Linked DNA regions of Oryzias latipes. The protein of the gene in region 5 purifies or fractionates together with the protein of the main gene of each other region. This does not show direct contact. Links are inferred from orthologs where the notes say so. Each region holds a gene or a part of one and is shown on either strand. Other genes may lie near its edges.

Region 1 (3,897 bases), on a different chromosome or scaffold from region 5:
GATGCTGTTATAGTATATACAGTACACAACATAACGTGACCTCTTTCACACTGGAGATAAAACTCTTATTTAACCCTCCTGTCAGGAGTATGATTTAGATTTTTCTTTTAAATTGCTGACAAGATGAAAAACACATTCCGAAATATATATTTTTTCTAAATAAGAAAAAGTCCTCTTACAAAGGCGCTCTGGCATTGGTCTGCTTGTCTGTGCGTAAGAACAAGAGGAACATCAATGTGAACAGTTATTTTTATTGCTGGTTACAGATGCAGTTGGCCACTAACTGTTCAGACAATTTAATTCATCATTTGAAAAAGTACAATTAAAAGTGTTATAATTCTTAACCCATGAGTCTCAATCTAAAACATTTGACCTGCTTTAAACTTTTTTCCTAACTTTGTGTTCTGGTTGCAGGATGGCCCTTACATCACAGCAGAAGAAGCTGTTGCCATTTACACCACCACTGTGCACTGGCTGGAGAGCCGGCGATTCTCGCCCATTCCGTTTCCCCCACTGTCGTACAAACATGACACCAAGCTGTTGATCCTGGCTCTGGAAAGGCTCAAAGAGGCCTACAGGTACAAATGTTAGAACATAACGGACTCAATTTAACACGACTGCTCCTGTTCAAGATTGTGATTTTTATCTTCCTTCCTCATAGTGTGAAATCTCGTCTGAATCAGAGTCAGAGGGAGGAACTCGGCCTGATCGAACAAGCCTATGACAACCCTCATGAAGCTCTGTCCAGGATCAAACGTCACCTGCTCACCCAGAGAGCGTTCAAAGAGGTCAGCACGACTGACTGACTCTATATTGGCTGCAACATTTAAAAGCTTCAAGGGAAAAAGTTGACCTTTGAAAAAACCGAGCATGTCTTTTTTTTCAACCAGTGTTCGGTTAAACCCTTTTTCCAAACCTGTTTATTGCATCACATTTGATGTTTTTCTTGTCGTTTCAGGTTGGCATTGAGTTCATGGATTTGTACAGCCACCTGGTGCCAGTGTATGATGTGGAACCCCTGGAGAAAATCACAGATGCATACCTGGATCAGTACCTATGGTACGAAGCAGACAAGAGACGGCTGTTCCCACCCTGGATCAAACCTGCTGATACTGAACCACCTCCACTTTTGGTTTACAAGTGGTGCCAAGGTGAGTCCCAGCCTATGTTGATTTCAAATAGATGTTTTACTGCCGTGTAATTTAAATGCTCTTAAAGAAAAATATTACAAAGGAGCTAATGTAGTTTATTTGGCTGCTCCTGTCAGGCATCAACAACTTGCAGGATGTGTGGGAGACTGCGGAGGGAGAGTGCAACGTGATGCTGGAGTCCCGCTACGAGAAGATGTACGAAAAAATCGATTTGACTTTGCTGAACAGGTTACTGCGCCTTATTGTTGACCACAACATCGCTGATTACATGACGGCCAAGAACAACGTTGTCATAAACTACAAAGTAAGCTCTCCTCTGTTTGGGAACATTGAGCTTGAGCGCATAATCATTGTCTTTAAACTGGTCCATGATGTCAATACATTCATTTCTTCTAGGACATGAACCACACCAACTCTTACGGCATCATCAGAGGCCTGCAGTTTGCTTCGTTCATTGTGCAGTACTACGGCCTGGTGATGGACCTGCTGGTCCTCGGCCTGCACCGTGCCAGTGAGATGGCGGGCTCCCCTCAGATGCCCAACGACTTCCTCAGTTTCCAAGACACCGCAACGGAGTCTGCTCACCCAATCCGACTGTACTGCCGTTACATCGACCGCATACACATCTTCTTCAGGTGAGACTAAAAACAAAATGCCTTTCCTAACTCATTGGCAGATTCTAAAACTCTGCTTTCTTTTTACGGCCTTCAGGTTCTCTGCTGATGAAGCCAGAGACCTGATTCAGCGATATCTGACGGAGCATCCGGACCCCAACAATGAAAACATAGTGGGGTACAACAACAAGAAGTGCTGGCCCCGTGACGCCCGCATGAGACTTATGAAGCACGATGTAAACCTGTAAGTTCATCTTCACAATATATAGTGAATAGATTCATCAGAATTTTAATTGAAAGCACAGTTATAAGCAGCTCTAACATTTCCTTGGAGCTCATAGTTGTTGGGAGAAGAACCCTTTCTGCACAGCACCTCTTCTAGTTTACTACTGTTCACATCATCATGCACTGATGGCGGAAAAACACTCTTCAGCATAACTTTAAACGTAACATTGGAGGAGACTGCGATGGCGTTTATCACAAATCTTATTTCCCTCCCCAGTGGACGTGCAGTGTTCTGGGACATCAAGAACCGCCTGCCCAGGTCTGTGACCACGGTGCAGTGGGAGAACAGCTTCGTGTCCGTTTACAGCAAAGACAACCCCAACCTGCTCTTCAACATGTGTGGGTTCGAGTGTCGCATTCTTCCCAAGTGTCGCACCAGCTATGAGGAATTCACTCACAAGGATGGCGTCTGGAACCTGCAGAATGAGGTGAGGAACAATAACGGTCAGCTGCTGGCTTTTGGAGACAGCTGCAGTCTCGTGTGTAAAGCAAACATTGTTCAGTTTATTTTGAAATGGAAAATGGTTGTTTTTCTTTGTGCCAGGTAACAAAAGAGAGGACTGCGCAGTGTTTCCTCCGAGTGGATGATGAGTCAATGCAGCGTTTCCACAACAGAGTGCGTCAGATCCTGATGGCTTCTGGCTCCACCACTTTCACCAAGGCTAGTAGAAATCCCTGTAAATCACTCTGGTGTCCTGGCCATTATCATAGACCATGATCAAATAAAAATCCATTGTCTTGTTTTTCCTCTTAGATTGTGAACAAGTGGAACACCGCTCTCATCGGCCTCATGACGTACTTCCGCGAGGCTGTGGTCAATACTCAGGAGCTGCTGGACCTGCTGGTGAAATGTGAGAACAAAATCCAGACACGTATCAAGATTGGCCTCAACTCCAAAATGCCGAGCCGCTTCCCTCCCGTGGTCTTTTACACCCCCAAAGAGTTGGGTGGGCTGGGCATGCTGTCCATGGGTCATGTCCTCATCCCACAGTCAGACCTGCGGTACGTTCTGCCACATTTCTGTCCCAACGTCTCTTCTTGAAGCTAAAAACACATGTGGTGTCTAAACAAACCAGTCATTCAGTTCTCTGTTGCTGCTACAGGTGGTCTAAGCAGACCGACGTGGGAATCACCCACTTCAGGTCTGGAATGAGCCACGAAGAAGACCAGCTCATTCCTAACTTGTATCGATACATCCAGCCGTGGGAGAGTGAGTTCATCGACTCTCAGAGAGTTTGGGCCGAGTACGCCCTCAAGAGACAGGAAGCCATTGGTCAGAACAGGTGCGGACAAAATGAGATCAGCGTTTAAGGGTTCACAACGTTCCTGTTCGCGGAACTGTTTTATGAAGGGGTTCAGTTGAATGCGAGTGTTAAACAAGTCGTGTAAAACGTGTTGTTTGTTGTTCTAGACGTCTGACTCTGGAGGATTTGGAGGACTCCTGGGACAGAGGAATTCCCCGCATCAACACACTTTTCCAGAAAGACAGACACACTCTGGCTTATGACAAAGGTTGGAGAGTCAGGACAGATTTCAAGCAGTATCAGGTATGACGGAGATGCTCCTTATGAGAATAAATTAATCTGGAAGTGAATATCTGCTTCTTTGAAAGAATGGATAGAAAGTCAATAGTTTGTCAATGCTACTGAGAGTCACAAACAAGTTAACCTTATTTAATTTCAAGCATGAAATTATAGAACTATTAAAATTACATTCATATAGATGTTTTTGACTTGCAGATTAGTTTCTTTGATGCTGTATTTGACCATTTAAATTTACACAGGTGGTTGAAGATGATCTTTTTTGAATGCAGGTTCTGAAGCAGAATCCATTCTGGTGGACTCACC
Region 2 (4,671 bases), on a different chromosome or scaffold from region 5:
CTCATAACTGAGACAAAGACCTGAGCTTTATTTTGAAAGGTCAGTTAAGTCACAACCAACTCTTTCATTTATTCCTGTTTTTCATGCAACACAAATCAATCACTTCCCATCTACAAACAATAATAACAATTCTGCCTAACGATATTTAAATTTCACAGAATCCATTTCACTTTAAATTGTATCTTTTTAACCCATTTCGCTATTATCTACAATAATAGGAATTTGACAAATAACAAATAAATAAATGAAACCGAAATTTTTTTTTTCACATGTTAGTCTTTATCTAAGTAGAATCAGATTATTTGGTGCATTTAAATGAAGGCAAACACATGATAAAACGTTGATTTAAGCTTTATGGCAGACTAATAAAATGTGTTATTTAAAACGGATTGAAAACAACTAAATCACTGATTTCTTTTTTCTTTCAAAATGTCAGAAAGTTTTTACCTTAAACACTGAGTTTTTATAAAATGTCAAACTTTTTTCTTGCCATCTACAGTAGAGCCACGTAGCAGCTGAGATTTCAGACTTCCTGTTAATCTTACAAAACAAAACCAAGGACACTCTGCTGGTTGTTGTTTTTTTTAGAACAATCCAAATACCTTGATGTCATTGTCGATGCCTCCAGACAGGATTTGGTCGCTGGTGTCATTAAACGTCACGGCCAAAACTTGGTAGGTGTTCTGGAAGGTGTGAATTGCCGCCTTTTTACGGATGTCCCACAACTGCAGTGACGATTAACAAAAATACAATAAAGCAACATTTAAAAACTTTGAATGGGACCTCAACAGTTGAAGCATTCAGAATAAATAACTGCACCTAAAATAAAAATGTCACACCTTTATCGTCCCATCATCGCTGCCGGTGCAGACCAGTTGTGGCCCCCGGCGAGCTGGGTAGCAGGTGTTAACAAAGGAAGTGTGACCTTTCAGGCGCTTAATCCTCTCCCCTGTTTCACTGTCCCAAATGCCCACGGTCTTGTCTGTGCTTGCCGAAAATAACAAGCTGGAGGCACAAAAATGATCCAGTCAAATTTTATGGAAAGGTTATTTAAGAAATGTAGATAGTTCCAAGTCCTAAAATTTACAGATGAACATTTTTTTTGTTCCATAAAGTTCCTTAGTTTTTGAAATCAAACTAAGACTAAGAAACAATGAGAATATGAGCTTTACTTTCACTGTAAACATAACCTAAAACAAGAAAAATGTCAATTTAAAGGTGAAGTTTAAAGATAAAATCTACAGCTTTCTTCCTACCTGCCATCTGTGTTGTAATGCAGCTCCATCACAGCTCCACTGTGGCCCTTCAGGGTGGCGTAATTTTCACACTCCCCAAAAACGTTCCACAGAACTGAGGTAAAGGAAGTAAGTGAGGAACAAAGCAACAGAAGAAGGCCGGGAGAACGGCAGCTTGCCTCTTTTTGCTTACATATGAGTCGGTCGAAGCCAGAAGACGCCAGCGTGGCTCCATTTGGATGAAATTTGCAGCAGTACACCTCGCCCTCGTGGCCCGACATCAGCATGATGGGAGCTTGCAGGCTGGAGGTCCGAGGAGGACCCTGGAGGAGAAAGGTCAGTTTAATTTACTTTCTGTTTTTTTCTTCCAGATTTAGTCCAAGTGAAATCTAAAAAGAAAACAGGCATGTGATAAAAGACAGATAAATAAAAGTGCGTTTGGGCTTAATGTGCCACAGAACGCTTCAGAGTAAAGTCCACAAAGTTTAATGCAAATCTGCAGCAGACCAGTGAGGAAATGGATCATTTGTAAAGGATCAAATTGATCATGTGACACAAAGGATCTTGCCACCCTATGGTGGCACACTTTCCATGCAGGGGCTTGTGGTGCAGAGGCAGAGCGGTCCACCTGATCACAAATATCGCAGGTTAGGTTCCACAAATGGGTGGGCAAGGCGGGAACCTAACCTGCGATATTTGTGATCAGGTGGACCGCTCTGCCTCTGCACCCTATGGTGGCACACTTTCCATGCAGGGGCTTGTGGTGCAGAGGCAGAGCGGTCCACCTGATCATGAATATCGCAGGTTAGGTTCCCGCCTTGCCCACCCATGTGTGGAAATGTCCTTGGGCAGGACACTGAACCCCACATTGCTTCTGGTGGTTATAGTTTGGCGCCAGTAAGAGAGCGAAACCGCCATCAGTGTGTGAATGTGTGTGTGCATGGGTGACTGTGAATGTGACTGTTGCAGGTGATATGTCATGCAGATTTTTGCAACATCAAAAGATGATTGCTAAAATGAAACCCCAGTGTTTAAAAGCTATTTATTTTTTACAATAGAAAAAAAAGATTTAGTATCTATCCTGTTAAATATCCTATAGTTTTGTCTCAATAATCAAAATATCTACTTACAGAAAAACATCTACAAACTGGAAAAGGTTTAAATACACAAAACTCATGCTTAATAAAAAAAATAACATTTTTTAATTTTCTATCATAACATTAGCCTAGGATTTGTAACCTGTTCACGGTTCACCCCGGAAACACCCATAACTGGGAAAGGTTCCTTTACCATCAGTTTGTTGATAACAACGGGATTTCGAATATAATACGTATTTTAAAGAAGCAACATTACATCCAAAAATTAAATATCCTAGCGAAAACTCGTGTTGTTATTCGTTGTCATGTGTTCTCTACGTCAAGAAATAATAGGTGCACCACAAAAAATGTCGTGTTTGAGTAAATTTTAGATTACATCATTTAAAGCATGCATAATACAAATGCGGGTCAACACCCGTGTGTATATATTTTCTCTAATTTGAGTTTTTTTGTGTGAACGTTGATTCTTTTCGTACCGTAGCCACGAGTTGCTGGGACTGTGCCGCCGCCACCAGCTCGTTCCGGGCTCGCTTCACAGCGGTGGGAATTACCGCCATGTCTCCCGCTCTTTTCTTTGGTTCAATCATCCCGAAATAATTGCAAATAATCGACAAAAATAAGTTTGTTTGTGACTACGGTTTACCGAATGACTATTTGCGCCTTCATGGGAAACGAGAAAAGCGTAGCACCAACGAAGAAATCAGGATGAAGTGTTTCCGGTGAGTATGAGCTGTGTGATTGGTTTAAACATCCATCTCCTGCTGTGATTGGCTGATGAAGACGTTGTCAGCGACAATGCACCGGAAGTACAACAATCTGAGTTCAGCTAACCACACGAAAGGTAATATTTTCATCCTTTTTTCAAGACTTAAGATACTTTTTGCGTGATTTTCCTTATCGTTCTACCACGACAAACGCCTATACTGTTCATGTCTGAGCTTTTGTCTTTGAACTGACGGTACAAACCGTAAGAGGACGAAATTATAAGCTAACCAAATTCATTGCTGACTTGTCTTGTTGTCAACTTAGATTTTTTGTTCGCTCGATTATTAAAAAACAACAACTTTGAGCTAATTTTTACATAAATAAAATTAGTAATTATATTTCTTTGGTACCGGGAAGTTAATGCTTTATTGCGACAGGTTGGCTTCATCGTAGTTTAAAATGACACGAATGACAATTTTCATTTTCAACCACATATTTGTACAAATAAATATCCCAAAAGGCACAAGGTCATTCTTTATTTGCAAGAAGTGAACAGCACAGCAGAGGTTAAAAATTTACCGAACTCTTTCTGTCAACCACATTACCTTTGAAATTAATTCATTTTCTTTTATGACTTTCGTTTGGTGAATTGGATGAAAGAAGATTGCTGTTTCATTTCCTCTCCCAAATTATGTAGAAATCTAAGAGAGGCAGTAAGTTGTCTTAAAGGGAAGAGTTTGGTCGGAAACCACGAAGATAAAGGGATTGCAAGTTTTCACCTCAAGGTCTCTGCTCTCTGAATTGTCTGGGCATAAACACTGATGGCAAATCTATCCATTTTGTAAACCCGTTTTGTCCCTTTCGGGGTCATGGGGCTGTCAGAGCCTTACCCGGCCACTCGCATGTTTTTGGATGGTGGGAGGAAGCCGGATCTCCTGGAGAAAACCCACGCATGCACAGATTTAGAGTAAAGCGCTAACCACTTTGTCACAGTGCAGCCCTGACCGCAGATCTGTACAAGGCAATGTATGCCACCTTAGTGCTGACTGATTGAGGAAACATCCAGGGGTTTTCTCTGAAAACTCACTTTACTGTTATCATCTCTAGTTACATAAAAAACCTGGTCTCCAGTTTGTATACCAGCTTCAGCTTGTACCAGACAATGCAACTACTTGGTTTTGGGAAACAGTACTGGTATAAAGTTGGCACATACCGATTCTAAACAGGTACTTATGACTGTGGCAGAGCACCTCCTCACTTGTGGGTACCAAAATCTCAAAACTAGAGTAGTTTGAGCAAAAAAAATCTAGGATGAGCATAAGAGATTTGACATTTGTGTGGCGAGCTCAGCTCAAATTAAGGGAGTGATAAACAGGCTGTAAGATTTTGAATAGGAGAAAACTCACTAAAATAGAATTTTTACTTTCTCTGCTCCACTTGAGTGTACACTTTTTTTTAAAGAAATTCACTTGACAATCTGCCACAGTAATGCACACTTTCAAACTTTAATAGATTGCTCGTGGGGTAATTTTACTGTATTACTGTCACTAAAGCATAATTCAGTGTGTCTGGTATAATCTTTCCACAAAAAGGAAGAAAAAGACAGAAAGAATGATATTTTCAGAAACTTTTCT
Region 3 (4,440 bases), on a different chromosome or scaffold from region 5:
CTGAGAAATTCCATGTTTAATATATTTTATATAGTTTTTCACATTTTAAGAGACATGATTCATAATAAAGGTGCTCAATAGTTCTAAAGATACTAAAGCTAATGTCAGCAAACTTTCTGTACTGACTAATCATGACCCTATTGTCCCCCCCGTTCCGTTTTCGTACACAGATCAATTTTGACACAAGTTTCTCACAAGGAATGTGTCAGAAGTCAGAGCGCAGTTGTTGTGCACTTGTGATGTGCGCCAGCAGATTCACATTTGAGCAGTTGTAATCCCAGATTGGAGGTTGTAACTCTAAATGGGAATTTGTCAGTTCTGATTTAGTTTGTCAGACTTTACAGCAGAAGATTTTTACACACAGATGCAGATTTTTGGTGTGCAAGTTCTCACATTGTAAATTACAAGTTCTCACACCAAATCTACAAGCTCGTCTATTTAGACACATTTTTACCTTCATACTAATAACTCACTGGCATTTGAAATCTTGGGGTGCTCAGGTGGATTTGCTCACATACGTAATCTATTCTTTTAAAAACCAAAAAGATCAGAAAATTACAATGCAAGAACTATTGAAATAAAACATCTTGCAATCTCCCTTCTTCATTGCTTAAGCTTTGTAAGAAAATTTGATTTTATTACACAAGTGACTACATATAGAAATCTTGCTGTTGACATCTAACCCTTAAAACAGGTTTAGTATTTAAGAAGTGGCTTTTTATTCAACTCATACTTGATAAAAAAACAAAACAATGCTTCAGAGAATGAAATCATTCAAACCCCACACCCACATCAGGCACAGTACCCAATGTGGAGGAGATGCTATGGACGCCTTTTTAATCTCTTACATTTGTGAGCTTATATTTAGTGTTTTACTTGTATTTGAATTCTTCTGAATGTATTTTATTCTTGATTCTATTAAAGGAATATGTCAAAGAGAGGAGGGAATAATTGAAACATTTTAGAATAAAACCACTGTAAGGCGCCATGTTATTTCAAATCCTGGAAAGAAGAAGAAAAAAAGACTGCAAAAATATGCTTTAGTGAAGCAACACTTTCTAAATCAAGATGCAAGCTCTTCGTGTTTGTTTCCTCTTCATATAAAAGTCCTAAATACACACTTAAACCTCTCTCCGCTACACCAGCAGCCCCCCAATACCTGTCGAATGCTTTGACTCTTCCAAGCAGCTTCTTGTTGTTGCGACAGTTAATGAGGACTTGGGTGTTGTTCTTGACTGACTGGGTGAGCACCGACAGAGGGCCAGTGTTGAACTCCTCCTCTTCTCTTTTCTGGAGCTCTTCAGGCGTCATCTCTGACTTAGGTTTCGTTAGAAGACTCCTGTGGATTAAACAAGTTCTGAATTAGTGATAACAGCAAACAAAATAAGCAACGATGTACTGTTTAAGCATCGACTGCTTGGGCGGCCTATTATTTGGATTTGGGCCTTTTTATTATTATTCTTTTAAATTAAAAAATAAATATAAAGACACAAACGCAACACTTTCGTATTTAATGCACACACAAGCATTAGTTACTGTTAATGCGAATCCAAGAGTTGGCTTCATCTGTGTGCCTCAACAAAATGATCATTTTCTTATAAAGTCAAGTTAGCACAAAAATGTACAATATAGGCAAGACATCTGAAAAGTGGAACCAGCTAAAAAAAGTCTCAGTTCCTGCAAAAGAGCATTTATGAGAGCTGAAGCTGTTGACTGAAAGTGCTCAGTTAATAGAGACATTTGAGAGGCAGAAGGTGCTTAAGCAGGAAAATGGACCACAACCAAATATCTAAATAAAACTAAACATGCAAAACTAGTATTAACCAGAAAACCATTGTACAGGAGACATTACATCAGACGGAATCAAAACTATTGAGGAATTATCTCACACACACAATAAATGCTTTGGTCATTGATAAATTGAATCAGTACATTTTAGTCTCGATATTTCTTTATATTTGTACAATGATCACTACAAATAGGCAGAAGTAAAACCTACTTTAAAAAAAATGGCTGCTCTGGATGATAGAGAAACAATTTACCTAAATAAAGGTCAACAAATACTAGACTTTATAAAAGGATCAAGTTTTAAAACATTAAAGCCTCCCGCCACCCTTAAATGAGCACAGAACATTTATTGTTTCCAGATACATTTGAAGTTTTCAACAATCTCTGAACAGTGTGTGCTTTGAGATCAGCAAAGAGTTTAGGCTCTTTACGCACAAAATATTTAGAACAAAACTTTGGCTTTCACACAAAATGAGTCTATAACCGACGACTTTGATCATATCATCTTGCAGAAGCTTAAACATTTCTACTTTCTAAAGAATGAATGCTGCAATCGCACAACGAGGACATTTACTCATGATGGATAGAGCAAGCTAACAGTCTCATTAGCAATTAGCTAATGAGGCTTAGTACGTCCATCAAGCTTTCGCGCGATGTACAATCACAGAATTTAGCTTTGGACGTAACTTTTTAAACAATTTAATTTGAGAATGCAGTAATTGCAATGTAATCCAATTTAACACATTTCTAAAAACCACCCACTAGGCCACACAAAGCGATCTAGCACCAACTCGAAGGAAAATGCTGCTAGCTTAATAGTGCGATCTCCATATTAGCAGCTAAACGTAAAAAGTAACATTGCCCTCAACATCGAGACACAATAGAAGATACTAACATGATTCCTGGTTTATAAAAACCGTTTAGTAAAGTTCCAAAGCCTCTTTCGTGCGTCGGTCGTGTCTACAACGTTTTAGCCGACAGTCGCGTGCACAGAATCACTTCCGGTGATATTAACGCGCTTAAATAGAATAACTTCCGGGTTACGACGCAAACCAAAAATTCGAAAAATATTCTATTCTTTTTGGCAACAATAGAAAAAAAATCAAACAACGGTCATCAGCTAAAATATTCTATTCTAATCTTGCATCCATCTCTAGTAATTTCGTTACTGAAGCCGAAGTTAAAACTGTTATGAATGCCCCAGCATTCATGCAGCAATTTAACAAACGACATTATAGAACATGTTTAAATAAATACACGAAAAAGATTAATTAAATACAATTTGATACATTTAAATTCAGCATTGCTTTTATCCAGTTATTTTGCATTTGCAGGATATCAAAGTCCAGGTTGACAGTATCAAGAAATAATATAAAATAAAAGAGACGTTGCTTAGTCTGTGACCTTTGCCTGGTAAACAACAACAACATTATTAACAACAACAACAATTAAAATATTGGAAATAACAACAACAACAATAATAGTAATAATATTAATAACAACAAAAACAATAATAATAATAATAACCTTTCCTTTTTTTCATATGTGCCACGTTCCAAATCACAGATTGCCTTATCTATTATTGTAGGTGCTAAACAAATGATGCAGCATTGTTCATTTGTATTTTTAGCAGTATTTTTAAACTCATTTATTTGAAAAATATAATTCAATATCAAGAAACTATAAACATGGCCTTTTGTAACTGCATTTTGCAAATCAAACAATACAAAAAAACTTTAATAGTAAAAGTTTTAGGCTCCAGGTTTATTGCTGTCATGTCTTGCATACATGGGCAGCCGTGGTAGGGTGGTCACCCTCTGATCGTTAGATTGCAGGTTCGATACCCGCCCTACCGTTGAAGTGTCCTTGGGAAAGACGCTGAACTGAACACCACCTTGCTTCTGGTGGAAGGTTGGTGCCAGTGTTCAGCAACCAGGAAACCAGTATGTGAATCTGTGTATGAATAGGTGACTGATTTTGGCCTTCAAGGAAGGTAGAAAGCGCAGTACAATTATACGCCATTTACCATTTATAATACAATTATAAAAAGTTATAAGATGCATTATAGTGTCATTTAGAAACTCTCACAACTGAGTTCTATGAGATCTACAGCAGGTGTATTTATCTAATGTTAGTCTAATATAAGTTTTGTTTTGAAGAGATGTCTTAAAGAGTCTGAGCCGTTGACAAAAATGTTGTAGCACTTCTTTCAGATGGTAAAATCCACAATTCCTTTTTGGCCAACATCCAAAGGAGATCTTGTGACTTATGAAATAAGGAAACCAATTCCAAACACAAACAATCCCTTTGGGCTTTTTTTCAAGTTTGTTGAGTAAACCGTTAAAACTACAAATAGTTGTAGGACCACAACTCAAGTTTTTTAGTAGACTTTTTCTAACAACTAAAATGTTGATTAAAGGATTCTGATAACATATTAATCTATTTATTGCTTATCTTTTCCCCTCATTGCATAATGTCAATAAAAGAGTAAAAAATAAAAAATAATAAAAACTGAAAGCTTCTTCATAGGACAGAAGATTTGAAGGAGATGCCTCAACAAGGATGGAAAAATAACAGCTACATTTTTGTTTAACTCTTTAAGAAAATGAAATTTGTGTCTGTAAGATAAAAAGAGAAATAGAGGCTGCATGC
Region 4 (4,339 bases), about 3.7 Mb from region 5:
CCTTTTTTTTCATCTGTTGTCTGACTTTAGCTGTCTTTGGTGATTCTTCTGTGATATTTTTGATTCTTGTGAAATTTCAGTTTTGACCGGAGCATCTCAAACTTCTGCTAACATGAGGCATCATGCTAGAAATAATGTATTTTTTTTTCTCTTTTCTACGCCGCACCCGGTATAATCCCACTCCCCAAAAATAAACACAAATTGTTTCATTTGTCTCTCTTTAGTTCTAATTTTGACCTGAATGCTCCTATATTTCTTATTAGCATGAAGCCATGAAGGTTCAAAGAGCTTAGAAGTATCTTTGAACTTATGGATCACCAAGGATTAAGTAAATAAACAGAAATATGAATTCATTTTTTAGACTTTGTTTCTGTTATAATCAGTGAGACCAACTTTTTCCTCTGACAATGACACCCCTTTGTATTGTTCAGGGAGTCTAGATAGAGTTAGCTCAGACCTTCTTTTTTGTTGAGGTTCATGTCTGTTCTTAAAGTTTCTGGCCAGAAATTAGCGCATGCATTCCCGTCCCCCTGTGCAAAAGACCCAATCCTGCTTTGCCCTGCAATTTGAAAGAAATCTGTAAAACTTTACGCAATAGAGTGTGCAAAATGACAATGTAAAAACTCCATGTTTGGTTTGTTCAACTTTTAATTTTTGTGTCTTTACTCCCAAACAAACAATGCAGACCTTCTGAAGTGAATGTTTGGTTGAGGGGAATTCTGACTCCAAACTCAGTGAGACAGACGATGATCTGCAAATGATGTTTTCAAAGTAAGGCTAAACATAGCAGCTACAATATTCAAGAGAAGTCTCTTCATGCATCTAGAAAAAGTTTTTTTTAAACTTTTGAGTCTCAATTCAGCAGTAATTATCTGGTGAGATCTTAAATTACACTAATATCTCATTTAGATTTCATGAATAAAATTTGCATTTGTTCCACAGGATTAGACAGTTCTCAAAGTTTCTGTCATTAAATGACAAAAAAATATTTCTCAAACTGAATTAAATGCTGATTCTTGTATTTTTACATCAATGCAGCTGAAATATAACTTTCTTTCTATAAAAGTGTTTTTCAGATGTCAGAATAAAATGTGAGAATATGGGAGAACAAAAACTTTCATTGTAGGAAATGTTCTGCTGGACCAGTTCAGTTACCCCCACCACCCCCACCCCCGCAGTCGGTTCCCATAGTTGTTTATTGTTATAAAATGTGGTTTCTCATTTTTTTTGTCTAAATCACAAATAAAGGGTTTCTTTATTTTATCATTCAACCATAAACTAGACCTCTAAACTTTTATTCATTAATACCATTATTATTAGAAAGTAACGCTAGTTGATGAGAAGAAAAGCTTCTCTTTTAGTGTCCTATCTTCCAAACGAAACCGAAAGCACAAAGGCAGATGATTGATTGCAGGAGTTTCCTCGACCTGAACCGACTGGAATTTGATGAAATCCTAAACCCAGCGTCAGTAGTCCATGACGGGGAGGAAATTGAGCAGCAGCAGCAGCAGCCTGGGTGATGCTGGAAAGACGCAGCGCTGCGTCGGCTGTGACTGACCCCGCTGCAGCTCTGACCTCTGCACCTGAGAAAGTGTGCAGTGCAGACAGTACCGAGAGGAAGCAGAAGGATAATGAGAGCAGCTGGAGCGTTAATTCCACGAACCTGCAAGTCACTGTCAGACATAGGTTTGCTCGTCTGAGGATCCTGCTGAAGAGCATAATAAATGGTAAGCGCACTGGTGCGTAATTACGCACGCACAGTGACAAAGTGAGTTGTTTTAGTGCTTTGATGCCAAAGCAGAGATTGAGAATTAAACCTGAGACTCGGACTTGAGTCTCACTTCAGTTTCAAAGGCAGGGATTTAAGACTTGAAAGCCTATTTAAGACTGAAACCTTAACTTCAAGAGCATCAGACTAGACTTTGAGGACTTGAGAACATTCTTAGTTTATTTTTAGTTTTACCTTAAAAAAAAAAAACAGATTGAGGTCTAATATTTTTGTGCTGTATGTGTCACTATTAGGTGGTTTAAAATACTGTAATGACATTAGTGAGAATCACACATTTTTAAAAATAATTTCCAACATTTTGGATTTGACTTGTAACCAAAGACTTAAAACCAGACTATGACTTGGGAAAAGTGGATTTCAGAGCATTTTAATGCCAAAGTCTGTGCACTTTGTCTTTCTGTCATGTGATACAAAGATGCCCAGGAGCCGAGTGATTTTATTCAGTCTTCACTGGGCTGCATTTAAGGTACTTCCACACCTCTTTCTTTTATGCAGTGTCTGACCGGAACTCTACTCCACAGTGTCCTGGTGGTTCTCTTGTTGGCCAACTCATCTGGTAAAAGTAAATGTAACTACAAAGACATACTGGGCTTCTACAGAGAAGTCATCTTCGTTGAGCTGCAGAATCTGGTATGACGACCAAACTGACCGCAAAATAAGAATTTCAATGTTTGTTTATATTCAACAGCCTTTTACCTACAGCTGACACTAAGAAAAGTGTTGGAATATATGGTTAGAGACTGCCCTCCAGTGTTTGTTTTGCAACACACACACAAAGAAAAGCCTCAAAACGAATTTTCCCACACTTTGAATGAGATGAAACTGGATTTCTAAAATAATATTTTTGATGACTAATGTTTTTCAGAATTTGACTGTTTCTCACAACTCATCCAAAGGGAGAGATCCCTGCCCCTCTGCAAAGGTGAGCATCAATGCTATAGGTACATTAGATGTAGTTTGGTGGCTGTAAAACGGAAATCACACACACAACAAATGCAGTAAACGTAGTAACAAAAATGGAAACAAATTACAGAAAACTGTTAAAATAGAACATTTAAAAATATTTTGCTTTAAAAAAAAAAAAACAATATTAAAAGTAAAAACAAAAAAACAAAAAAGGAGATTTCTTTAACCCTGATGTGACATATTTGTTTAGTTTGGCAAGTTTTGTCTACCCAAATACTTGCATTGTTTGTTATCAAGGTCTTTAAATGCTGTCTGTTTTCTCCTTTTTCCTGCCATCTCATGGCAGGCACATCGCATCCTTGTGTCCATATACATTAACACACAGCAGGTCCTCTGTTTGAAGAGCGGCAAGAAGCTGTCTGACCTGAAAAAGCCAATAGAAAACATGGAGCAGCTCATCGTTCAAAACTGCAGTCCTAATTATATGGTGAGAAAAAGTACCGATGCAGATCTTTGAAGTATGCAAAAAAACTTAAAAATCTGAACTAATTTATCTTTTTTTTCTTTTTTTCTTTTACTTCTAGGGAAAGAAAAACCCCTGTTCATCTGCCCAAAAAATACAAGGGAGAAAAGGCAAGAGATTTAGGGTGATCAAAACCATAAAGGCATTGATTAGATGTTGGGAAAAACTCAAAAGTGTCGTACCCTCTGATAAATAGTATGACTTTGGTCCCTAGGACCCGTGCTACTCTATGCACTCAAATTTCCAGATGGTTCTTCCAATCTGGTCAAGATAGACTTTGTAAAAAAAAAAACGGCTTCCTCTTTTATTGGAATGCTCAAGTTGTTTTATTCCTCCTTTTTTTAACAGTTGTCGAGATCTCCGAGTTTTGTGATTAAAAAAACGCCATCCACTGCATGTCAGCATTCCTCTTTGCAATATGAATTGTTTCCTAATAAGCCAAGATAAGCTAAAAAGTATTCACTCACCATTCAGATGTTCTCCAGTAAAATATGCACATTTTCATTCTTTGTAGCATGTTTTTTTTGAATGACATATTGACATTATACATATTTCCTGTCTTTTTTACTGTAATTTCATTTAATAAAATACTGAATATTTATTAATACTTTTATTAGAGAGGAAATTGTTGGTTTTGTTGTTTTTTATAAAAGGAAATCTTAAAGAGTGGAACTGTTCTTAAAAAGAATGTTTCCGACGGAACAAATAAGGTGTTACGCAGCGTCCGCCAGTGTTTACAGCCGAGAGTCCGCGAAGCGAATTCGCCACGAATCTGAACATTATCGTAAAGTAGCTTTTGTTCTTTGCATGTTAGTAAAAAAAAAAGTGCGAAGGGCAGTTCTTAGTCAGAATTATACTCTTTTCATTGTTTGTTTTCGTAACATTTACAGCGACGCAGAAATGCGTTTTTGTTCCTTAACAACACTCCCCTGAAGCAGCTTCTTCACTAGTCTGTGACTGTCTGTGGGACGTTCTGGGTAATCCTTTCCAATATTCAGGACACTTGTATTTTATTTTAGGAGGTTATTTGTGACACAAATTGAGTTGCGTCTGATTAAAAGCTAACATGGCTAGCAACTCTGTCGACATGGATCCTGATGTTGCTCGGAGGCTGTTTGAGG
Region 5 (4,591 bases):
AAATCCCACACCGTCACAGCTCTATTCCAAACAGTGCCTGTGACGCGGCAGTAACACGGCAGCAATATGGTAGTAACAGCACTAACAGGGCTGGTAAAAAAAACATACCGGTAAAAATCACAGAGAGAAAAAAAAAAGAGTCACTGAGAGCAGCAGTAACTTGAAGGCGTCCGCTCCGTCAGTGCGGCCACTTGTGCACTGAAACCATGGAAGTCTTCCTCCTCAGTGTTGATTGGAATAGCGTCAGAGATTCTTCGCCACACTCTCTCTCCATCTCTCCTTCGTTGTCACTGTCAGTGTCACTCTCATCCTGAGGCAAATTCTCTCCTGAGCTTGCGCTGTCCTCTCCATCATGCAGCAGACCACCTTTTCCAAACCCGTTGGTGATGGTGGATTTTTTTCACACTGCTTTTAATGATCGCTTTTAACTTGAAAGCTGCATCATATGCATTTCTTCTTGCATTTTCCATGATGAGGGTCTGTTTGTGCTATTCATTCACAAAGCAGGAATTTACATTAAACTTGCGTCTTCCTCGACACATATACCGTATTCCCCCTGCCTCACGCTTTCCCTTTCTGCTCGAAAAATTGCATTTAAAAATGCATAAATTAGCTGCATCATTGAATAAGCCACAGGGTTGAAAGCGTGTGACAAAAATAGCGATTTATAATCCTGAAATTATGGTACATGGAACAATCCAGAGACCAGGAAACTGCTCTTAAAAGTACCCCGAAGCCTCTAGATAAGGTATATTTAAGAGAAACAACCCAAAAGCTGCTTCCTTCCTGTCTTTATCAAAGCATTTGACGCAACTGGGATTGCAACCAACCTTGATGGCATGGAGTTCTTTAGTTTTATCTTTCTCCTCCCGCATCTTTAGGCGCTCATCGTCCTCTTCATTTCCATTATTCTCTCGGTCCATTCGTTCCCTCCTCTCACGTCTCTCCCGCTCCTGTGGGTCCTCTGGGAGAGACAGCCACATCTTTTTTAACACGTCTCTTTAGCAAAGTAAAATGCCGGGTTGTTTTCGAGGAACAAGTTAGAAACTCACCCAACATTTTTCTACCCATATCCTGAAACACCCTCCTCTTCTTCCTCTCGTCTTCCATCAATTTCTTCTTCTCCTCCACCTGCTGCTCCCTGCGCTTTATAGCCTCGGCTTCTCTCTCTGCTCTTGACAGAAACTTGGGCTGAAAAACAAAACAAAAAAATAAAATTTACAATAGAAAAATGAGAAAGAAGAAACACTTCTCTCGGGAATAATCCAACCTTGGATTCTGCTTCTTCTTCTGCCTTCTTCTTGGCCAAAAGCTCCTCCAACGAAAGCGGTTGGACCTGAACCACAACACAATGCAGGTTCAGTGCATCACTTCAAGTATTGTTTCTAAATCAGCACAAAACTTTTGAAACTTAAAAAAACAAGAAGAAATCCCAATCAAAAATTAAACTTTTGGATCTTTCTTTGTTCAAACTCCTAAATCTTGGTTAAAAAATATGTTTAAAAAAATGAAGCTTAAAAAACAACCATGTCTGCCCCTCTTTGCCTTGTTTGTGGAGTAAATGATTATTATTCAAGTTTTTTTTATAGATAGAAAAATCAAACCTTTTCTTTCTTTTTATTTTCCTCTTCTTCCTCCTCTGTTTTGATCTCTTTTTCCTTCTTCATCCTGCCATCCTTTGACTTTGGAGACGGACTTCTATAAAAGATAAAAACATATAAAAAAATAAAATAACCTCAAGCCGTTAGAGCCATTTCCGGGTCATCGTAAGTCTCTACAAACCCAAGAATGCCAAAGGGAGTTCCTTTCCCATTTCCTCTCACAGTATATTAATAATGATGTGTTCTCTGCGAGATATCTAGACCTTTTATTGCGATCCCGGCGATGGCTGTCCCTCTCTCTGTCCTTGCGGCCCCTGTCCCTGTCTTTATCCCTGTCGCGGTCCTTGTCTCTGTCCTTCATGCGTCGGTCTCTGTAAATATAAAACAAATCAGAAAAAAAACATTAGAACGTGAACCCAATTAGCCATGATACACTGACACAGTTCTGCGTGTGTAGCAACCTTTCTGCGGATTTGGAGCGGTTCCGTTCGCGAGAGCGATGACGTTTGCGCAGTGGAGACGCTTTGCGATCTCGGTCCCGGGAGCGGCTGCGTTTCCTCTCCCTGTCCTTGCTCGCTGAGGATTCAGCATCTTTCTTATCTGTGGAGTCAGCTGCCATCTGCAAACACAATAACATGTAAGCAGAACTTTTTTTTAAAACCATCACCTGGGAAATACATCATAAAAGTTAGTTTCTGTATTTTTTTTATTGTTTTTGCAACATATCAAAATAAAGTGCTGTTTTATTATATTCACATATATGGATAGAAGCACTAACTGGAAAACAAGACATAATGCTCATTAATTTTGCATTAAAATTCACATTACCAAAAAAAAATTTTATACATCAGCGTCACAACTTGACATTTCGCTTTTTCACAACAATTTCTTTACGAAGTTCCAGTTAAATGAATTGTTTTTCCCACAAAAAGAACAATTTCTTATGTAAATTGTAAATCATAAAAGAAAAAAAACATGCTTAGAGTTTGAACTTTCGAGTAAAATATATAGATACAAAAGCAAAAGGAACTTTAAAAAATAATGTATATTTTAAAAAAAAAAAGACAAGGAAACGTGATTTACTCAATCTTTGGGAAATGAATGTTGCTGCTATGCATATCCAGCGCGAGTTAGCGCTAGTAACACACTAGCTAGCAAACGACTTAGCTACAAAGGCCGCTTCTTTCTACATTAACTCTCCAATTCTGCACCACCGACATCATATAAAACACATTATGATAACCATAAGTTTAACCCGCTCAGAGGCTTTATATTTAGCAGATTGTTAACTTACCCTTTTCACTTGTCAACAAACGTACTGCGATAGAGAAACGATTCAAGAAGACTCCATAACGCTCGAAATAAGCTTTCCTCGCAAGGGTACGTGGGAGTTGAAGTTTCGTGCTTTGGTGATCCGTGCATGAAAAGCAAATATCAACTACACTACCCAGCAATCTCGTGACCTTTCTGAGGACCCAGATTGTTTAATGTATGTCCACCTAAATGCCTGTATAAAATTCAGTTTATTTTTCATTTTGGGCACAGGGTGGCGATCGCGATGCATTTATCTGAGATAGATAGATAGATAGATAGATAGATAGATAGATAGATAGATAGATAGATAGATAGATAGATAGATAGATAGATAGATAGATAGATAGATAGATAGATAGATAGATAGATAGATAGATAGATAGATAGATAGATAGATAGATAGATAGATAGACCAAAAATATGAACGCAACACTTTTGTTATTGCTCCCATATTTTATGGTATGAACTCAAAGACGTGAAACATTTTCCACATACACAAAATAACCAGTTCTCTGAAATATTGTTCACAAATTTGTCTAAATCTGTGATAGTGAGCACTTCTCCTTTGCCAAGACAATCCATCCCACCTCACAGGTGTGCCATATCAAGATGCTGATTAGACAGTAAGATTATTGCACAGGTGTGTATGGCAGGCCATATCTCTATCGGTCGTTTCGACTATCACAATTACGTTACAGATATCTTGAATTACAATTCCAACTATCCAAAATGTAATTACGACTAGTCAGAAATACGTTGCTGATATCTACAATGTTCATTCCGGATAGTCAAACTTAGCCTTTTGATGTTAAAATGGCCTGCCATAGGTGTGCCTTAGACTGGCCACAAGAAAAGGCCACTCTATAGATAGATAGATACTTTAAAACTCAAATTGTTTAAATTAAGAAGTGTGGTTGTGGTTGAGATATAAAAAGATTTGTTATTCCAAATAAGAGCAGTCTCCATGGAAAATAAATTAATTATTCTGAATGTATTTTGTAGTTACTTTCCCTTTTGCAAAAATGCATACATTTAGCAGTTAAAATTCTTTTTATGAAACTTTGTAGAAATGATGGATCCCAGACCCCTCAGTGAAATCAAAATGTATGTCTGTGTGCTGAATTTGAGTTCAAATTGGCTACGCACGCACATATTTCTATTTTCGGCCTTCACCAGTTGATCAAAAAATATCTGAAGCAAAAATCTGAAATATAACCACTGAAATACAAAAATGTAATTTGTTTCAGTTTGAAACAGATAAAAATAGAAAGCTGCTGGAATAGGAAGAATAAGAAAGAGAGAAGCAAAAGTCTAAGAAGACCAAGCCAAAAGATAGATCTATTACATTTGATCCTCTAGAAAACATAGCATGGATCATTTTTTTAAATTAGTGTAGGGTCTCCGTTTTGAAACTGTTTAATTAACAGAAACAAATTAACTTTAACAAAAAGTCTAAATATTAAAAACCGTTAATATGAACTAAGCCACAGTATTTAGGCCATGTCCAAGCCATGTCATGTAAAACGGTGAAGCAGTTCGTATTGTTGCATCTTGAGGCGATGGCCTTAGTTTACTGGGTTGAACAGCCATCAGCCAGTTTGCTGGTCAGGAGTTCAAATTTGAAGCCTGGTGGTCATTTTGTCCTGAAGCCTATCACTAAATGTCACACTGTCCTC
Region 6 (3,897 bases), about 3.6 Mb from region 5:
TCATAAATGAACAGGAAAACTGAAATGCTAGAAAGTTCGGTTTGCATTTATAGATACCACAATAAAGTGAAATATTTTCATTCAAAAATAAAACATTTTACAGACGATCAAGTAGAGCTGTGACGGTGTGGGATTTTTGATCACCGCGGTGATGAACCAGCAGCGGGGGCGGTGTGGCGGTTAACCCCCCCCCGGCCAAACACAAAATACCCCCGCGGCTGCGTTGCAAATGAATACAATTACAACGCAGTATTCTTTATTAACAAATAACAGTAACCACTAACTACTACCTATCCACCTAATGAACTAACTATATAGGTGTTGTAGAATGACTATGTGTATGTGTGTCAGCACGCTGCGTATGTAGGAGGAAGGAGCACACAAGTGTGTTAATTCTTCTGCAGCGGACCGCTCTGGAGCTGCAAGCAAGGCTTCACCTGTGCTCTCTGGTACAGACATCTTCTCAGAATATTATATATTGCCCAGTAATAAACAGACTGCAGACACTTTGTCACCTTTCCGGTAGCCATGAAGCCTGACACCCATGAAGAACACGTGGCGGGAGGCTCCGCCTTTGTTTATACAGACACGTAACTTTGCGCTGCACGAAATAATTCCCAAACAAAACATGTAGTGATATTCATCGAAATCTAACAGAGCCCGTTCGTGTTTGGTGTTACGGAGTGAAGGAGAACAGTAATAAACACCACCACCCACGCAACTTGTAATGGAAATGAATAATTAGAACGCAGTAAATTTGTCGCATTTCCTCGCGAGACGGAATTTCTGTTGTACAATGAGGATTTGTATGTGCTGCTGAAACCGCGCACGTGTGTGTAAGGAGAGGGAGCGTGTGGGGCGCAAGAGGGAGTGAGAGCCGCGCAGGGAGTGAAGGAGAACAGTAATAAAAGGTTTCCCCCAGAAGCCCCTGAAGTCTGAACACGGGACTAGCAGAAAAAGTAAATTATCAGCAAAGATGAATGTGTTTAATGTGTTTATTAGTTCCAATCACACACCATATGCAGAAGAAAAAAACGTGCTGTGATGCGGTCATCACCGATGCGGTGATGCTGTGATTGTCACACCCCTTCGATCAAGCCTGCAATAACCTCAAATTTACCTTTGGGCACATTTCTGTGCCTTTCATTATCAGGTTCCTCGCCACCTGAAGTTTACCAGTGACCTCTTCCAGCCTGGCCGAAGCAATCCAAGCAGGTGGATGATGGGGGTTGGTCTCCCTCACTGATTTCAGCAGCAAGCGAGCCTTCTTGATGTCACTGCACCCAAAGAGTTAGATACAAATGATCAAAAACAGACAATCTCAACAACTTCCCACATTCCCGGGAACCTCTTACTCATTGAGATGCAAATTTAGAAGCTATCTCCCCAACTTTACAGTTCGCACTTACCAAATAAAATAAAAATAAAAATTAGAAAAATGCACAGCTTTAGATAGCGCTTTGATTTAATCTTTCCCACTTTCTTTCACACAAAAGGTTTATCCGATGCTTTTTTTGGTTAATGCATAGAAAATCTTATCTGTTATGCAAGGAAGTGGAAACATCTGATGGTGGGATCACAAACGCGTATAAAAGAAAAGAAGTTACGGCCGCGCTGTCGTTACCTGATGTCTCCTCCATAAGTTGGGATCATGGAGTTCAGATCTGTGAGGTATCCTTTAGGGTCCACGACTGTCTGCCCGCTCACAGAATCTGACACCTGCACAGCAAAAGTCAAACGCAACAGAACAATTATCCATATCACTGCAGAACACAAGCAGATTAAAGAGGAAGTCATACTGAATTACACAAAAAGCATACCTGACTGAGCCTCATATCCATGAGAGTGTTCCTGGCCTGACCAATTTTCCTCATATCCAGTTCTCCTGTTCCAGGTGTCATCAGACCAGGGGTCATGCTCCCAGGGTAAGGTGTGTTCAGGCCCCCCAGCTAGTGCAGACAGGAAATAATGTTAGAAGAGAAGGAGCATTATTGTTCCAGGGAATTCGGTTTCCAATTACAGTTCCCTCACAAGTGTAACAAGATAGAATATATAATGTGAACAAACTGTAAATGTGTGAAACTGCTTTTCTATGCTGTGAACTGAAAATGACAAAAAATGTGCCAAGAATAACTAGAAAAGTTGCATTTCCTGGGTATATACGATTAACTGACTAATTGCAAAAGGTGGTTGCTTTTATTGGCTTAATCGCATAACTTTTAGCAGAGGAAGCTGAAATGTATTGAAAAGAAAAAGGCTGGATAAATTGCTGAAGCTGTTTGCGTAAAATCTGCAGAGGTTTTCGGATTGCCAAGCTGCAGAAGACATCACCATTATAATGCTGCAATTAATTCACATTGCAAAAAAACCTGTAAAATTTTTAGCTAAATGCCAAATTAGCTTGAAAACCCTTGATAGATGTCAAATTAAATGATCTAACATAAGTGAGCCAGCACAATGTAGATGTAATGGTTACATAACAAAAATGTAAAGGAATGTCTACATTTGCACCTACAGCTAGCATGATGTTAATATAAAGGTTTAATGCTATGCTAGTTAAAGCTGTTCATACAAACAGAATTTATTCCAAACACGGGGATTTGTGTTTGAAACTTTGAATAAAAAAACATCTATGTGTCATTGAAAGTGTCAAAGGTCCCCTGAACTTTTGCAAAGCCCGTCTCAGTGTGTCTGTGCGTGTCTGAAAGAGAGTGCTGTCTCCATGGCAACGGGTTCAAATTCCAGGACTGCTCGCAGCTGTATATGTCATCTACGTAGGCACAAACGCTACAGAGTCTGAGATGGACAGATGTCCCAAACAAAATGATGCTGTGTCTCAACTATACGTCAGATTAAAATAATTGTTGAGAAATTATAGGAGGAGATGCATTTCAAAAACAGAGAAGTTGAAGCACTGTCTCCATTGACTTCCATTATATTTGAAATTCAAACAACTTAAAATTTTGAAAAACTTTAAATGTTACCAAAATGGTTTAAAGACAGCAGAAAAGTCTACAAAAGAGCAGAACAAATGCATGTTTGAATTTTTTGAACGGCATAAAGTATGCAGAAGTTAGCTTTGCAGTAAGTTTGAAGTTGCTGAAGAGCCTTCCCCTATGTACTTCTATGGCAACATTTTGCAGCAATTTTGTTGAATTGCAGAAAAACCATAAGTTGTAGCAGAAATCGCAGAAGATAGCAATAATGTCCTCAATTTGCAGGACATTTTGATACTTGAATGGCAGAAATCAGATAAAATATGCAGAAGATATGAACGGACAAAAAAACGCACGAAAGAATAAGAATGAATAATAAGAGAAGAACAAGCCAAAGGAGGGCCACAGTTCCACAGCCTGAATTCAGGACTGCAGTTATAAAGCACTAAAACCAATAAACTAATTCCATCTTGTTACTGTCCAAATACCCATCAGCTCACGGCTGCTGTACAGAAGCTACAAAGTAGCAGTATCATAAACATTTGGCAGTTGCTAAGACTGTTTTAGGTGAAGTTTCCTGACCCCTGCTGGACTAAACTGGGACTGCAGCATGATGCATGGTTTTCAGTGCTTCTAGTTGGATCTTGTGCGTGTGCGCGTATTTACTGACTCCTTGCAAAGGGTCGACAGAGGAGTGGTTCTCTCCGCTCTGCAGGTGCTTGGAGAAGAAGCTATCAGGGACAGGTGTGAGTTTTTCATGGCGAGGGTTCCTTTGACGCTTGTTTCTTGCATCTCCAACTTCAGGGATGCTCAACCACTCCTCCTCTGACACTTCGGCCAACTTTCTCTAAAAAGGCAGAGGAAAACAAAAAGAGAATTGGAAAATATGTATGAATTATTAAAATAAAGTCTAATTATTACAATATCAGAACACAAATGACTAACATAGCACACCTACTAC
Region 7 (4,594 bases), on a different chromosome or scaffold from region 5:
AGTCAGAACCTAAATCTGCTGGAGGTTTCTTTCAGCCAGAGGGAGTCTGACCTCCAACCGTTTTTATTTTGAAGCCTCTGCCTAAGCTTTGTCATCACTGTTGTGAACAATAAAGTTTGAACGCCATCTGCAGCTCTTTCTACACCGTCGTGGGTGTTTTGCATGATTGTACTGTAATATAACCGCCTCCATGCGAGCGTTGGGGTCCCCCGTTACCCAGCATGTAGTCCTGGTACGCCTTGAACCTCTCGTAGAACAGCAGGCTGCCGGTCTGGAAGGTGTCCGGCAGAGTCGCTCCTGACCGCCGCTCCGACCTCTGCAGCTGCGTCCCCGACCTCTCAGAGTTCTGGTGGTCTGTCCCGCTGTCGTCGTCGTCATCCTCGTCTTCGTCACTGACGTCTCCAGCATCATCGTTCTGGAACAGAGCTGCAGAACCCAGCGGAGGTCATGAATGATGGCTGTGAAAGTTTGTCCAGCGCCACTTTTCAAAATAAAAGACTGTTAATGCTTTTTTAAACTTTGAAGGACTTTAAAAAAAATGTTTGCATTGATTTAACTCATTTATAAAGTTATTTTGCTATTTTAAAAAATATGCTTTCAACTCTAATTTTAATAATAATTTCATAGGCATTTTAAATGTTATTTTTGTCCTTAATTGCTGTATTTTTAGTAAGTTAACAGGTTTTAAGGCTTTTTCCGGTCCTCCTGTGTCAAAATCCTCATGAAAGCAGATATTTTCTCTTCTCTTTTATTTAACAATCTGTTAAACAACTTCATAGAATCAACAAAAGAGTCACAAATACTGTGTCTACATACACAAATAAATGAATTTATTTACACCCCCGTTTTCCAGGTGTCAAACTCCAGGCCTCGAGGGCCGGTGTCCTACATGTTGTCCAACCAACCTGCCATGAAGCACACCTGATCCAGGTAATCAGTAGCAGATAAGGCAGGATATCTTAAAAAAAAAAAAAGAAACAGTCTGACACCCCTTTTGCGGTCTTCTATAGGTATATTTTGTTTTTGTAATAACATAATTGTGTTATTTGTTTATTTCAACATCCGTTAATGTCTACTCAGATGAGAGTGAAATATAATTATTTGTCGTATTTGGGTTAAGTTTGGAAAATCCTGCAAGATTGACAGTTCCGAGAATGCAGCTCAGGCTGACGACATATGAAGACGCTGCGTTCACAGACCGCCGGAAACTCGGATAAAAAGTCTGCTAAATCTCCAAGCTAGCAAACCTCGACGGCAGCGGTTAGCTTGTCTCATACACCGACTCGGAGGAAAGAAAACTCAAACCAAAAACGGTAACGTAACAAACCTTGCGCTACATCCAATAAACCGGGTCCCGCGGAGCAAACGCTGTCCGTCTCGACCTGAGGATCCAGATCGACCACCACCAAGTCCGACACGTCGCTGACGGTACACCCGGTTTCCAGGGCTTCGAACTCCATTGAAACGCTCGCCAGAGTCTCGGTTTAACGGGATTAAATGAGGATCACGCGGCACTTGGAGCTTTGAAACAACAAGCGGAGTTCTGAGCCCACGCCCTGACACTTTCAAAAGATCCCGGTCTGCTGCAGCTCAGCCAATCACAGCAGGGAGCTATATAAAGACCCGCCCTTGTTTTTTTACATGCGCGGATCGGCTCGGTCTGCAGTACCACAGGACAATCGTTAGGGGGCAGTAATGACGTAAACATTACACGATCTACCGTAGAAGAAGAGGGTTTCGGCCGGCGGTCTGCGCTATTTCAAAGGTACAAACGGGATTTAAGTCAAAACTACGCGTATTATATAAATATTTGTCATGTAAACAACAGCGCATTTCGCAGCTCTTTTCGGCTAGACAGCATTTTTGTTTTGTTTATAAGCATTTGTAACGTTGTTAGCATGTCGCGCTACTACTAGCATCGTGCTACTTAGCATGCTAACTAACTTCAGTCTGAATCTTGTTTTTACGAAGTCAATATTCCGAGTTATTTTTATTTTTATTGCCAATCTTTTTAAATAAAATCAAAACAAAAGCTTTAGTTTTTTAGGCACAAAAAAAATTCATATATGAGATGAAACAGATGTTTTAATTCATGCGCTGTTAAGGCTGATGATCATGATGATGTTATTATTGTTGTTCGCACGTATTTTTACTAGAAAACAAAGTTATGGAAAACATATTTAAAGTTAAAATCCCATTAACTGTGAGAAAATTGTACTTTGATCCTGGAGGAGCGGAGAGCTGCAGAAACAGCCGCTCAGGAACCAGGGGGGTATTTTCTTTATTTTTAGCTTTTTTTTTAATTGAAAAAACACTTGAGGTTTACAATTTGTAACAATTGTATACAATTATGACAAGTATAGAAAAGTAGAAAAAGTACAGGACATGAACAAACAACATAGGCAGGATAAAATAAAAATATAACAATAATACCGAAAAAAAATTAAATAAAAGAAATTAAAATAAAAAGGGGGTCACATAGACATTTTAATGATTCTTGACTTGGGGGGTTCTCAAAAAGCTGCAAGTTACATATAATACTTTGAAGTTCCATAGCAAGTTTGATTTCCATGAAGTTTGCAGATGAAAAAAAGAGCAGAGTTCTTTATGAAATGTAAAAGAATATGGTTGGATTTCAAGGAATTGACATTTATGTATATAGAATTTACCCAAAATAATTACAACATTTAAAATAAGTTCTGTGTTTTTTTGTTTTTTAAATTAAACCCAAAAATGATGTCCTTAATAGAAAAGTCTGCTAAATGTGGGATTTGGGGGAAAAGCCAATAATTCCAAAAGACATTAGAGTCAAAACATTCAAAGAAAAGATGCTCAGTTGTTTCAATGTCATCATGACAAAAAGAACAGCAGTTTTCAGGAATTCCAAACCGTTTTCTTAGTAATTCCTTGGAAGGGTAAAATACCTGAAAAGGTTTTAAAATTGACTTCCTTGGCTTTAGGAGGGATGGGGAGTTTGAAATATTTGGTTCGTATTTGTTTCTTTTCTGAATTATTGAAATATTGGGTTATATAATTTGAATTTGAGATGTAGGGAAAGGACGTTTCATTCAAATATTCTCTGATTTGATGGTTGGGGAGTTTGAGTTAGGGTTACCAAGTCCAGCGTAATTACACTAACTCAAATCTGGTCATACCGACATACCCAGAGTAAGCAAGTTCAGGCGGATTTCAGCCAGAGTTCAGGCTTAAAGTCAGGCTAGTTTAAACGTGCTTCCTGGATACCTGCCTGAACTTACCGAAATCCTAACCTTGACCCTTCCTGTGGGTCCGTGCAGCCAATGACAACGTTCAGCACTGGCTGCACGTGCGCATTCTTGTAATTATTGACCTTTTATTGGGTCATTATTTCAAAACATTTATTTCAAGTTTGTTTTGAATTGAACAGAATTAGGACTTAAATAATTATGCTTGCTTTTAAAATGGATGTAAACATAGAGGATCATTATTATTTTACAGGTTATTTCCAAAACCCTCATATTTACTGTTGGATGCTCGGTGGTCCGTCCTCACAGGTCCTAGCAGCTTGTTGTTGTTTTGGTAGATGTTAAAACCAGTCCATGCAGGTTTGATGGGGTGGCCTGACCTTTGGTGTCTTCCTCTACAGTTTTGGGGTTCCCACCTGACCGGGTTTGTCTTCCTCGCGGCTCGGGGTTCGGCTGCAGCCGCGGCTGAAGATGTCGCAGCAGAAATGCGTCCAGAGCTGCGGCGACGACCAAGAAGGCTTTGAGCTGTCGGCCAGTGACGAGTCGGAGCCCGAGGAAGAGCTGAGCCGGGCGCCCTTTGACCCGGAGCTGGATGACAGCGACGACGGGGGCGAGGAGGCGTGCGCTCTCGGCGCCACCCGCTCAACTGCGAGCACGTTCGTCTTGAGCGGAGGGAACTCTGCGTTCTCCGACCGCAGCCGCAGCGTCTTCGACTGCCTGGATGGCGTCGAGAGGCAGACGGCACCTCTGCTCCCCGAGGAGAGCATGCCCCCTCCCAAATGTCCCCCTCCTGCAAAGAAGAGGGGGGTCCCGGACTACCTGCTGCACCCTGATCGCTGGACGCGCTACAGCCTGGAGGACGTGAAGGAGACCACTGATCAGGAGAACCGCAGGGCGGCGCACAACTTCCTGTCCAGTCTGCGGCCTGAAGAGGGCAACCGCCCCCCCGGTGAACCCCCCCACGACCAGCAGCAAAAGGTGGTCTTCTCTAAACCCAAACGAGCGTTCAAGGAAGAAATCTCTGAGTCAGACCAGCAAGGAAAGGAGAAGAGACTGCACCTCAGTCACCTGGCTGAGGAAGAGGAGGAGGACAACAAGGCTGCTGGAAAGACCCAGCAGGATGCAGAGGAGGTCAGAGACCAGCAGGAGTCCCTCCCCAGCTTCACCCCCTTCAAGAAAATGAAGAGGAAGAGCTACAGAAGGAGCTCGGATCACAAGGATGAGTGCTAAAATGCTCGATTTGATGCTGACTTTGTGCTAAAGCTGGAACATTTGATGTTTTATTCAAAGAAAGTTTGACATATGAACAAACTATCAATACAAACCAGGCTGAAAAAAGCATGAGAGTTTGGTTTAGTGACGTTTCATGA

Evidence for each region.
Region 1: the proteins of ddx23 (region 5) and prpf8 purify together in Homo sapiens (affinity purification with mass spectrometry; 5 studies listed by BioGRID and IntAct, counting the BioPlex papers as one, with this or other methods). This does not show direct contact. The link is inferred for Oryzias latipes from reciprocal best matches to the Homo sapiens genes DDX23 and PRPF8.
Region 2: the proteins of ddx23 (region 5) and snrnp40 purify together in Homo sapiens (affinity purification with mass spectrometry; 3 studies listed by BioGRID and IntAct, counting the BioPlex papers as one, with this or other methods). This does not show direct contact. The link is inferred for Oryzias latipes from reciprocal best matches to the Homo sapiens genes DDX23 and SNRNP40.
Region 3: the proteins of ddx23 (region 5) and snrpd2 purify together in Homo sapiens (affinity purification with mass spectrometry; 3 studies listed by BioGRID and IntAct, counting the BioPlex papers as one, with this or other methods). This does not show direct contact. The link is inferred for Oryzias latipes from reciprocal best matches to the Homo sapiens genes DDX23 and SNRPD2.
Region 4: the proteins of ddx23 (region 5) and aar2 purify together in Homo sapiens (affinity purification with mass spectrometry; 3 studies listed by BioGRID and IntAct, counting the BioPlex papers as one, with this or other methods). This does not show direct contact. The link is inferred for Oryzias latipes from reciprocal best matches to the Homo sapiens genes DDX23 and AAR2.
Region 6: the proteins of ddx23 (region 5) and prpf6 purify together in Homo sapiens (affinity purification with mass spectrometry; 3 studies listed by BioGRID and IntAct, counting the BioPlex papers as one, with this or other methods). This does not show direct contact. The link is inferred for Oryzias latipes from reciprocal best matches to the Homo sapiens genes DDX23 and PRPF6.
Region 7: the proteins of ddx23 (region 5) and tssc4 purify together in Homo sapiens (affinity purification with mass spectrometry; 3 studies listed by BioGRID and IntAct, with this or other methods). This does not show direct contact. The link is inferred for Oryzias latipes from reciprocal best matches to the Homo sapiens genes DDX23 and TSSC4.

Annotation. Positions count from the first base shown.
Region 1 is NC_019871.2:16,920,614-16,924,510, forward strand, and holds part of prpf8 (pre-mRNA-processing-splicing factor 8), read left to right. Parts: intron 1-414; coding exon 415-578; intron 579-661; coding exon 662-788; intron 789-958; coding exon 959-1,151; intron 1,152-1,267; coding exon 1,268-1,455; intron 1,456-1,547; coding exon 1,548-1,786; intron 1,787-1,862; coding exon 1,863-2,009; intron 2,010-2,267; coding exon 2,268-2,478; intron 2,479-2,594; coding exon 2,595-2,711; intron 2,712-2,804; coding exon 2,805-3,052; intron 3,053-3,153; coding exon 3,154-3,333; intron 3,334-3,461; coding exon 3,462-3,597; intron 3,598-3,863; coding exon 3,864-3,897. UniProt on the Homo sapiens protein: Plays a role in pre-mRNA splicing as core component of precatalytic, catalytic and postcatalytic spliceosomal complexes, both of the predominant U2-type spliceosome and the minor U12-type spliceosome.
Region 2 is NC_019869.2:21,982,676-21,987,346, forward strand, and holds the start of snrnp40 (U5 small nuclear ribonucleoprotein 40 kDa protein), read right to left. Parts: upstream 3,046-4,671; 5' UTR 2,920-3,045; coding exon 2,809-2,919; intron 1,559-2,808; coding exon 1,429-1,558; intron 1,351-1,428; coding exon 1,257-1,350; intron 1,006-1,256; coding exon 840-1,005; intron 726-839; coding exon 603-725; intron 1-602. UniProt on the Homo sapiens protein: Required for pre-mRNA splicing as component of the activated spliceosome. Component of the U5 small nuclear ribonucleoprotein (snRNP) complex and the U4/U6-U5 tri-snRNP complex, building blocks of the spliceosome.
Region 3 is NC_019871.2:25,537,837-25,542,276, forward strand, and holds the start of snrpd2 (small nuclear ribonucleoprotein Sm D2), read right to left. Parts: upstream 2,815-4,440; 5' UTR 2,686-2,814; coding exon 2,684-2,685; intron 1,340-2,683; coding exon 1,160-1,339; intron 1-1,159. UniProt on the Homo sapiens protein: Plays a role in pre-mRNA splicing as a core component of the spliceosomal U1, U2, U4 and U5 small nuclear ribonucleoproteins (snRNPs), the building blocks of the spliceosome.
Region 4 is NC_019865.2:15,451,579-15,455,917, reverse strand, and holds the start of aar2 (protein AAR2 homolog), read left to right. Parts: upstream 1-1,457; 5' UTR 1,458-1,727; intron 1,728-2,284; 5' UTR 2,285-2,419; intron 2,420-2,654; 5' UTR 2,655-2,711; intron 2,712-3,041; 5' UTR 3,042-3,182; intron 3,183-3,279; 5' UTR 3,280-4,284; coding exon 4,285-4,339. UniProt on the Homo sapiens protein: Component of the U5 snRNP complex that is required for spliceosome assembly and for pre-mRNA splicing.
Region 5 is NC_019865.2:19,105,574-19,110,164, reverse strand, and holds the start of ddx23 (probable ATP-dependent RNA helicase DDX23), read right to left. Parts: upstream 3,027-4,591; 5' UTR 2,896-3,026; intron 2,221-2,895; coding exon 2,063-2,220; intron 1,973-2,062; coding exon 1,865-1,972; intron 1,699-1,864; coding exon 1,605-1,698; intron 1,337-1,604; coding exon 1,271-1,336; intron 1,192-1,270; coding exon 1,053-1,191; intron 965-1,052; coding exon 831-964; intron 1-830. UniProt on the Homo sapiens protein: Involved in pre-mRNA splicing and its phosphorylated form (by SRPK2) is required for spliceosomal B complex formation.
Region 6 is NC_019865.2:15,463,943-15,467,839, forward strand, and holds part of prpf6 (pre-mRNA-processing factor 6), read right to left. Parts: intron 3,784-3,897; coding exon 3,607-3,783; intron 1,950-3,606; coding exon 1,821-1,949; intron 1,720-1,820; coding exon 1,625-1,719; intron 1,278-1,624; coding exon 1,121-1,277; intron 1-1,120. UniProt on the Homo sapiens protein: Involved in pre-mRNA splicing as component of the U4/U6-U5 tri-snRNP complex, one of the building blocks of the spliceosome.
Region 7 is NC_019861.2:37,264,169-37,268,762, reverse strand, and holds the start of tssc4 (protein TSSC4), read left to right. Parts: upstream 1-1,668; 5' UTR 1,669-1,765; intron 1,766-3,625; 5' UTR 3,626-3,695; coding exon 3,696-4,454; 3' UTR 4,455-4,594. Other genes in the region: shcbp1 (SHC SH2 domain-binding protein 1), read right to left, coding at 217-426, 1,328-1,460. UniProt on the Homo sapiens protein: Protein associated with the U5 snRNP, during its maturation and its post-splicing recycling and which is required for spliceosomal tri-snRNP complex assembly in the nucleus.